2 linked regions of the Mus musculus genome follow. The protein of the gene in region 1 purifies or fractionates together with the protein of each later gene. This does not show direct contact. Links are inferred from orthologs where the notes say so. Each region holds a gene or a part of one and is shown on either strand. Other genes may lie near its edges. The genes, in order: Uqcrb and Cox6b1.

Region 1 (4,433 bases):
TTTTGAGACAGGGTTTTTCTGTATAGCCCTGCTGGCTGTCCTGGAACTCACTTTGTAAACCAGGCTGGCCTCGAACTCAGAAATCTGCCTGCCTCTGGCTCCCAAGTGCTGGGATTAAAGGCGTGCACCACCACTGCCCAGCTCATTTCTGTATTTTTGACATTAAATCCAGTCCAAAATTCAGAAAAGATAGTTGATGTCAATGAGAGGGAAACCAAGAAATAATAAATAGTATCTACCTCAAAAAAAAAAAAAAAAAAGACCACTATCGAGTCATAGTAAAACTCAACAGTAACTCCACTTTCTGTCCTTAGTTTTTTATTTTAGACTCTACCTGTTGGGGTTGAGATCTTGAAAGCACAGTCTATAGTCTTTCTGCTTGCTCCATTTTTAATACTATATGCAAATTCTAAATATATCTTAGGGGTTTTGTTGTTGTTGTTTTGTTTTAGGTAAGGTCTTGCAGACTGATGCCAGATTCACTATGTAGACAACTGTAGTCTTGAACTTGCAGGGATCCTCCTGCCTCAGACTACTGAATTCTTGGATCTTGCATGTGCCATTTACTCCTACCTTAAAGTTAATATTTTTAAAGCTTATCCAACCTAACTTTCTACTAAAATTGTTTGATAGGGATTTTTAGGTGGGGAAAGTGAAGCCTAGAAGCTGAAAGTTATCTGGGATTGGTTGTGCAGCATATGATCCTAGAAATAAGGAAGCCCGAATTTGAAACTGGATTTCTCAATTCTAGTTAACAAACAAACAAACAAACCTGGACTCTACCCAATTTCAATGCCCTTGGATAACTTATTGAACTTTTCTGAGGCTCAGCTTCCTTCTCTCTTCAATACTGATAGCACCAGTAATTACACTGATGATTTAGAATTAAATGAGAATATAGCCACACTTCTGAACCCAAAGATTGCAGACCTATAGATTGAGTCTACCACAGATCGGGAAGGGGTATATCTGTGTTAACTATAAATGTTCATTATACCTGTGTTACTTCCAAAATAGTGCAGTATAACAGTTATTTGTGTGGTGCTTACTTTATATTCTGTATTAAAGTAATCCTGAGGTGATTTAAAGAATGCAATAGTGTATACATTATATTAAAACACCGCACCATTTGACATAAAGAATTTGAGCATCAAGCGTCCTCTAGCGTCCTAGCATCCCCTCCATGCATTTTGAGATGCGGTTTGCCTGAAAATCATTTACTACATTACCTGTCTCCAAGACTCCATTTATTCCGCAAAGGTTCTTTCCTATAACAGAGCATTGAATAACACTGTCTCCTAATTTCGCAGTACTTTCCCCATTGTGTCGCGAAGAATGTTTTTTGTAACAAGGCACACAAAAAGATCAGCCTAATGTGTGGAGTCCATTCAGGTAGGAAAGAGTAAATGCCTTCTGCTGGCGGTCAGAGCAGCGCCTGCCCCTCCCTTCCCCTTCCTAAAGTATCCAGGACGCCTGCGTAGGAGCCCGGCGTGTCCTCTAGGACTTACCCAGAAGGCAGCGCTTCACTCTCAGGTCAAAATGGCGGGCCGATCTGCTGGTGAGTAATTACTCCTCCTTTGTGGGTATCGTGGAGCGGTTGTATTTTCTCACGAACTTGTTCTCCTTTTGCGTTAGCTAAATAGCTAGTTTGTGATAAGAGACGTGGCGACCCAGCAGCTCAAAGGACAGGTTTCGCTGAGCCAGGTCGGGCCTGCCTGAGGGTTAGAACAGGGACCTCTGCCGGAAGGAGCCCAGCGGGGCTGACCGGGTTCGGCCTCCTTCCCCTCCGCCTTGGGACAGCTTAGGGAGGTGAGGAGGTCAGCAGACGACAGCCACAGCGAGTAGTGGGGAGCATTTGGAGTCAGGCGCAGGCCACTTCAGTGACAGTGATCGGAGCAAACAGCGCCCGAGCCCGCATGACGCTCCTAAGACTTGTCAGAAGAATTAAAAGGAAGTAAGATAGGGTTATAGTGAGGTTTCAGGTTAACCTTGGCATATCTGGACGGTGAGCTGGGGCTGCAGGGCTGTAAGGACTTTTGTTTAATGTAGGCACTAGAACAAATTTGAGATAGAGTGCCAGAATGTTTTCACATCAAATATTACTCACCCTCTCCCCTCCTATTTTTTTTTAAAGCTTAATCTTTGCCCACTGATGGTATACGTTGGAATAGTCTTTAAAAACAATACTGATAACCTTCTCACAGTCCCTGGAAATTCTGAAGGCATTAATTTTACCCATTTGACACAATTTTAGGAAAAGTATTCTGTTTTGTTGAGTTTAATACTTACGTAAGCCAGCTTCCTTTTCTGCAACAGGCTTTTGATCTATAATGTGGCAAACAGAGTAGTGCCTGACACATTTGTTAAGTAAATATTAATCGATATTATAATCACTGCTGTGTTAACAATTTAGTTCTTATGCTTTTTTTTAATATTTTTATTTTTTGAGCCAGGGTAGCCCAAGTTAGCTGTGTATTGAAGAATGACCTTGAACCTCTGATTCTTTTTTCCTCCACCCTAAAAATGCTGGAATTGCAGGAATGAATCACTATGCATGTTTTATGTAGTGCTGGAGTTGGAGCCCAGGGCTTTGTGGTGTATGTTAGGCAAGCAATATACCAACTGAGCATTAGCCCTTGACAATTTAAATTTCTCTTAGAAACAATTTTATGCATGACTTCTAATTTAAAGGTTGGAGGAAGCCATGTAGTAATCTGTACTGAGGATTAGGAAATTAGAAGGAGATAATAAGAAGGGAGCCTCTTTTTCCTTCTATGGTAAGAAAGTAGCCTTAACGCTTAGGGACTGAGAATATAGCTCAGTTGGTAAAAAGTTTGCCTTGCAATGTAAATACTGGCCTGATTTCGGTTCTCAGAACCCATTTTGTTTGTTGAGCTTTTTCTTTTTAAATAAACTGAGTTCCATTATATGAGACACGTCTCAGTAGCCCTAATCCATGCTTTTAATCCTAGAGCTGGAGACAAGGAAACAAGTGATCTTGGGGTTCACTGGCCTTTTAGCCTAATGTACTTGGCACTTCCAAGCCAGTGAGAGATGCCATCTCAAAAATGAAAAGGATGACAACGTCCTCTGGCAGTCACATGTTCCCTCCCCTACCCCTCACATTTTAAAAAGAAAGGTTAAGCTTGCTCTATCTTCTTTCTTGTACCACGTCTGGTCAACATCAGGCACTCTCCTGCTTCCTTGCCTCTTCTCCTTTACCTCTCTCAGGCTCAGTCTTCTTCCCCAAATGGTTTAAGTTTGTTTTTGAATAGAGTTTTTTGCATGCTAGGCACGAACTCTAAGGCTGAACCATATTCCCAGCCCCTATTTTAGTTTTTGTATCTCTGTTTGTTTGTTTGTTTGTTTGTTTGTTTACACAAGGCTTGGTATTCACAGTCTCAACTTCCTGCATGCTGAGATTACAGGCATGCTTTGTTACATTAAGAGATTTAAATTTAACATTGAATGTTTCTTCTTATCCATGTTCAAATACTATTATTCCCTTGACGAACAGTTTGCTGTTTGAGAAAAGGAAAATAGGCTTCTTTTACTAATATATTGGTATTTAAATTAGCTGATAGTATGAAAGTTTTTCTAGAAATAATTATAAATTATATTTTATGTAAAATTATAATTTTAAGGATGATAGCCAAATAAGACAATGTAAACTAAAAGTTTTGGAGACTAGAGGCCTGCCACTTAACCTGAAATCTTATAGCTCCACCTCCTTGGAAAAGAAAAAGTTATTTCCGCAGCTACAAAAGACAGAAGTGCTTCAGATCCTTTCCTGTCTCTGGTCCTTCAGTTCTTATGGTAGCAGGAGAAGGGTGTTGGACTCTGAGAACCCAAAGTGGCAGGAAGTATACCTGTGGCTATTAGGCACCTTTAGTTTTGAGTTTACCATTTGTTCCCACAGTGTCATGAGTGAAATGATTATCTACATTGTATACAAGGGGATTCTTAGGTTTATAAGATAACTGGTTCTTTACCAATTGGTCTATTGCTTTGTAAGTATATTGTAGCAACTAACATTGTGGTAATTATAGTTTCAGCATCAAGCAAGTGGCTGGATGGTTTTCGAAAGTGGTATTATAATGCTGCAGGATTCAATAAACTGGGTGAGTATCCATTCTGTGGTCCTCCTTCTCTTGTTCTCCCTGAATTCAGTACTTTTAAAGAATTCCTATAGTTCAAAAGAGATCATTTGTTTTTGTGTGTATCAGATTTAAAAATAAACTGTTTTTGAATTTTTGATCTTTATGTGGTGTTTGAACTTAGTGTTGTCTACTTAGCAGTGAACTTCACATTGTGGTCTAGAAGCCGAATGGAAGCATCAGCAGATCTTAGGGTTTCTTGGTATAAATTTGAGTTCTTTATGCCTTTAAAAAATTTATCAGTTGCACATATACCAAGGTGTGCTTGTGGAGGTT
Region 2 (4,593 bases), on another chromosome or scaffold:
CCACCCCTTTTTTAAAACAGGGTTTCTCTGTGTAGCCCTAGCTGTCCTGGAACTCATTCTGTAAACCAGGCTGCCCTCAAACTCAGAGATTCTCCTGCCTCTACTTCCCAAATGCTGGCATTAAAGGCGTGCACCACCACTGTCCAGCTAGCTATCTTATGAACTGAATTATGTCAATCCAGAATACAGGTTTTGTGTGTAAAAATTCACTCTAAAAAGGGCTTGGTGCTACACCAAGATCCCAAACACCTAGTGTAATCACTGGAGACCTAATAAAAACTTTCTATTAACTTAAACCCATGTCAGCACTTTAATCCCAGCACTCGGGGAGGCAGAGGCAGGCAGATAAAAATTCGAGGCCAGCCTGGCCTACAGAGTGAGTTCTAGGACACCCATAGATAGATAGATGAGTTTCCAGGGCTACACAGAGAACCCCTATGTGGATGGCTACTCTCAATTATCAACTTGACTATATATAGAATGAACTATAATCCAGAAACATAGGGAACACCTGTAATCCGGACTTGAGGCAGGAAGACAACATGCCTGTAATCTGGACCTTAAGGCTGGAAGACACAGGCTTTTGATCCAGACCTCTAGGAGGAATGACTCCTACAGGTCTTGAAGCACACTTTTATTCTGGGCCATATCTTCTGCTGGAGGCCTATATAAGGACAATGGAAGAAGGGACAGGTACTTGCTTTGCCAGTACTTCCTTTGGAGCCTACTTCTTCTGGATTCCAGTTTATGCAGAAAAGCAGCAGAAACAGCAACCCTCAAGGATCAGAGCAATTCACCACATTGCTTCCAATTATGATGATAATGGACGAAACTTGAAACTGTAAGCCAGCCCTTAATTGTTTTCCTTTATAAGAGTTGCCATAAACCGGGCGTGGTGGCCCATGCCTTTAATTCCAGCACTAGTTAGGCAGAGGCAGGCGGATTTCTGAGTCTACAAAGTGAGTTCCAGGACAGCCTGGTCTACAAAGTGAGTTCCAGGACAGCCAGGGCTATACAGAGAAACCCTGTCTCGAAAAACAAACAAACAAACAAACAAACAAACAAACAAAGAGTTGCCGTAGACATGATGTCTCTTCACTGCAATAAAACACAAACTAAGATTGTCTATCCCGAAAACCCAAATAAATAAATATAAATAACTTTCGAATCAAGGCACAGGGGTAAACGCTTGTTATCCTAACACCTAGTAATCTGTGATCAAAATTTCGAGGCCAGTCTGAGATATACAGCGAAGTCCTATTTCAAAACACAGATTATCTGTGACACTTTTCCATTCCCACTCTGAAGACAGTCTTATGCTTTTCCCTCTGGGAAGGACAGGCAGGTGATAATAACCCATAATTGAACGTCAGGTGCCTTTTAAGAGCAAAGTAAAATCTCGATTGGCCCAGCAACAATAATAAGCAGAAATTTAGCTCAATAGGAGGTCGGGCTTCTTCGGAAGTGGGCGTGGCCAAAGCGGTTTCTGGGCACGCCTCCCGAGGCCAATCTAGCAGCCCGGAGGACTCAGCTCGGCTCCTCCTCTCGCAGCTTCCGGCCAGTCGGAATTCCGCTTCCCGTCTGACATTGGCGTCTTTGCTAAGGGTCACATTGAAGTAACGCTACTCCGGGACAATCTTTAGGTGAGTGTGAAGGGTCGGGATCCTGGGGGAACCTTGTCCGTTGCAGAGAAGCGCCCCGGGGCTTCCCTGACGCCAAGCAGAAACTTCCGGCGGCCACGGGTCCGGTGTCCTGGAGCTAACCATTATAGCCGCCTTTCTTCATGATGGCTAGGTCGCTTTCTAAGCAGTCCCTATTACTCCATCCTTCAGCCCTACAAGTCCCCTTTGATAGCGTTGGGGCTGGAGTGTGAAGCGCCTTACCCGTGGCTATAAGGCAATTCGGATTTAGACCCAGTAAATTGGACTGTGGAGCTTTTAGTTGCGAGTTCACAGGCGTGGCCACCCGCGTTCCAAGGCCGAAGCCTGTCGCCTTGACTCGTGTCTTTCCCCTCAGCGTCATCTTTGATCAACTCTCAAAACTCGAGATATTGTCCAAAATTACTTCCGACACTGAGTCTTTTAAATCCCCCGTGCCCACCTTGCCTCCTTCAATGAACCTGCCCAAATACCCCACTTGTTTGGACTACTTCAGTTGACACTGGCACCTCTGTGGTGTCAAGGTCCCCCAGATGCTCTAGAGACAGTTTCTCTCAGGTCTGTTGATATTGACTATGTCATCTCTTCAGACATATCAAAGCTGAGAGAAGTCGATAAAACTCAAGGAGCTAAAGTATTTGAATGATTGGGGGGGGGGCGGTTTGCGTGGGGTTCTAATCGAATTCCAGTATTTACTTCCATTAGGAATGGAGGCAGCAACGTCAATAGATTTGGTAGCCTGGGCCATTGTCAGCAGGCAAAATCACAGATACCTGACACATGCCAGTTACAAGAGTCACAAATCTTCAGTCATGGTTACCTCCAGTTGTACTTTACTTGTTAAGTCCTTTGAGCTTTTTTTTTTTTTTTTTTTTGGAGCGGGGTGGGGGGGGACACATCTTAGGCAATCCCACAATGCATTTAGGCATATTCTGAGCAAAGTTTGAGTTCATTGGACCTCAGATGAGTGTGTGACGCCAGAAAACTAGCCGGTGACACCAGAAAATCCTTGCAGTGTTTTTGCTGGTGATGGATGAAGCATTATCACTGGGTGCTGTGTGACCTTGGAAAGTCATTTAGACACCCTGTCCCTTGTGTAGACAACAGAGGTAGCAATATCTTTTAGAGTGGCCATGGGGTAGGTATGTATAGAGTACACATAGTATGTGCTGTGCACACAGTGAGCGTTAACTGGAATTTAAGGATGAAGATTGGTTTTGCCAAGGAGACCTCTGTCCAACCCTACTGTGGCTTCTGTACTCAGATATATGGGTTTTCCCTGCCCTTCATCTTTCTGTGTTTGTGAAGAAGGGGGAGATAATGGTTTATTCACATTCAGCCTGTTATTCTGCTCTGGCCTGACATCCCCACACCCAGCACCTCCAGAATGGTTGCCAACATTCCCACTCTGTTTGCATCCAGGAGTCAGGATGGCTGAAGACATCAAGACTAAAATCAAGAACTACAAAACTGCCCCCTTTGACAGCCGCTTCCCCAACCAGAACCAGACTAAGAACTGTTGGCAGAACTACCTGGGTAAGCAGAGTACCATAGTGGGCCTGCCTGGGTCTCCCATGTACCTCCAACCTCAGAAAGGAAGTTGGGGAGCAGGGACATGTGCGTTCCAGCCTGGTTTCCTTCACTCTGGACGTACCCTCTGGAGGGCCCGACCCCTCAAACTAGCTCTCCAGGTCATAAACTTTGGTCTCAACAATAAATTTTTTGAAGAATATAATTATACATGTATATATGAATTACATATACATCTTATGTGTGTGCCACATACACACACAACATACAAGTAAATACAGTATGTAAACAGTTGATTCAGGGGCTGGTGAGATGGCTCAGCAGGTAAGAGCACTGACTGCTCTTCCGAAGGTCCTGAGTTCAAATCCCAGCAACCACATGGTGGCTTAACAGCCACCCGTAATGATATCTGACGCCCTCTTCTGGTGCATCTGAGGACAGCTACAGTGTACTTGATATATTAATAAATAAATCTTTAAAAAAAAAGTTGATTCAGACATAGTCACAATCCATGGATAAAAATGAATATTGCCAGTACTCTGCTCTCAGCTTGCTTTGGGCCCGGTCTTAAACACTGTCCCTTTCCTCTCTCTTTGCTAGAGACATTTGGGGCCCCTGCCTTACTTGAGCCCATGAGACCTTCCCTCAACAAAGAAAAACAAAAAACAAAAAACTAACCATTAACAAGAATTAAAAACCCCGCTGGTACCTGTCCTGTCTTCCTCAGATATGATCAACACTACCTTCCCCTTCCCTAGCCCTGTCTGGACTTCCATAATTCTGATATATGCCCCTCATACTTTGCTGTCATTCCTAGCTCCAGAATGTTCTATATAACTGCCCAGGTCAGGCGTATATAGCTCTTTATGGTGTACTTGTAAGTTTGCATTCCCTCTGTATGTATAAGCAATCTTAAAGCAAAAAGCATTTGTGGATTTTCCTCTGAAATGTGCTTAGTCGGGGTTGATTTGGAACCTCTTTTCTTCACAGACTTCCACCGCTGTGAGAAGGCAATGACGGCCAAGGGGGGTGATGTCTCCGTGTGTGAGTGGTACCGGCGTGTGTACAAGTCCCTCTGTCCCGTGTCATGGGTATGTGCCTCCCGACGGGACCCTTGGGTGGTCAGGTAGGGAGGTAGCAGAGACGAGTATGGCTAGTGAGAGTTCACCTCCAAGGGTCAAGCGAGGACCAGCCATGGAATGTCACTGATCCCTGCTCAGTGAGGGCCCTTAGCCCAGGACCACCCTCCTTGCCCATGCACTGAAGAAACACAGGCTTGGGCTGGGCAGTAGTGGCCCACGGCTTTAATTCTCAGCACTCTTGGGAGGCAGATGCAGGCAGATCTCTCTGAGTTTGGGGCCAACCTGGTCTACAGAGCTAGTTCCAGGACAGCCTGTGCTATACA

What was found.
Region 2: the proteins of Uqcrb (region 1) and Cox6b1 purify together in Homo sapiens (affinity purification with mass spectrometry; 3 studies listed by BioGRID and IntAct, counting the BioPlex papers as one, with this or other methods). This does not show direct contact. The link is inferred for Mus musculus from reciprocal best matches to the Homo sapiens genes UQCRB and COX6B1.

The regions. Positions count from the first base shown.
Region 1 is NC_000079.6:66,902,418-66,906,850, reverse strand, and holds the start of Uqcrb (cytochrome b-c1 complex subunit 7), read left to right. Parts: upstream 1-1,500; 5' UTR 1,501-1,539; coding exon 1,540-1,558; intron 1,559-4,049; coding exon 4,050-4,121; intron 4,122-4,433. UniProt on the Homo sapiens protein: Component of the ubiquinol-cytochrome c oxidoreductase, a multisubunit transmembrane complex that is part of the mitochondrial electron transport chain which drives oxidative phosphorylation.
Region 2 is NC_000073.6:30,623,101-30,627,693, reverse strand, and holds the start of Cox6b1 (cytochrome c oxidase subunit 6B1), read left to right. Parts: upstream 1-1,579; 5' UTR 1,580-1,643; intron 1,644-3,080; 5' UTR 3,081-3,088; coding exon 3,089-3,194; intron 3,195-4,178; coding exon 4,179-4,279; intron 4,280-4,593. UniProt on the Homo sapiens protein: Component of the cytochrome c oxidase, the last enzyme in the mitochondrial electron transport chain which drives oxidative phosphorylation.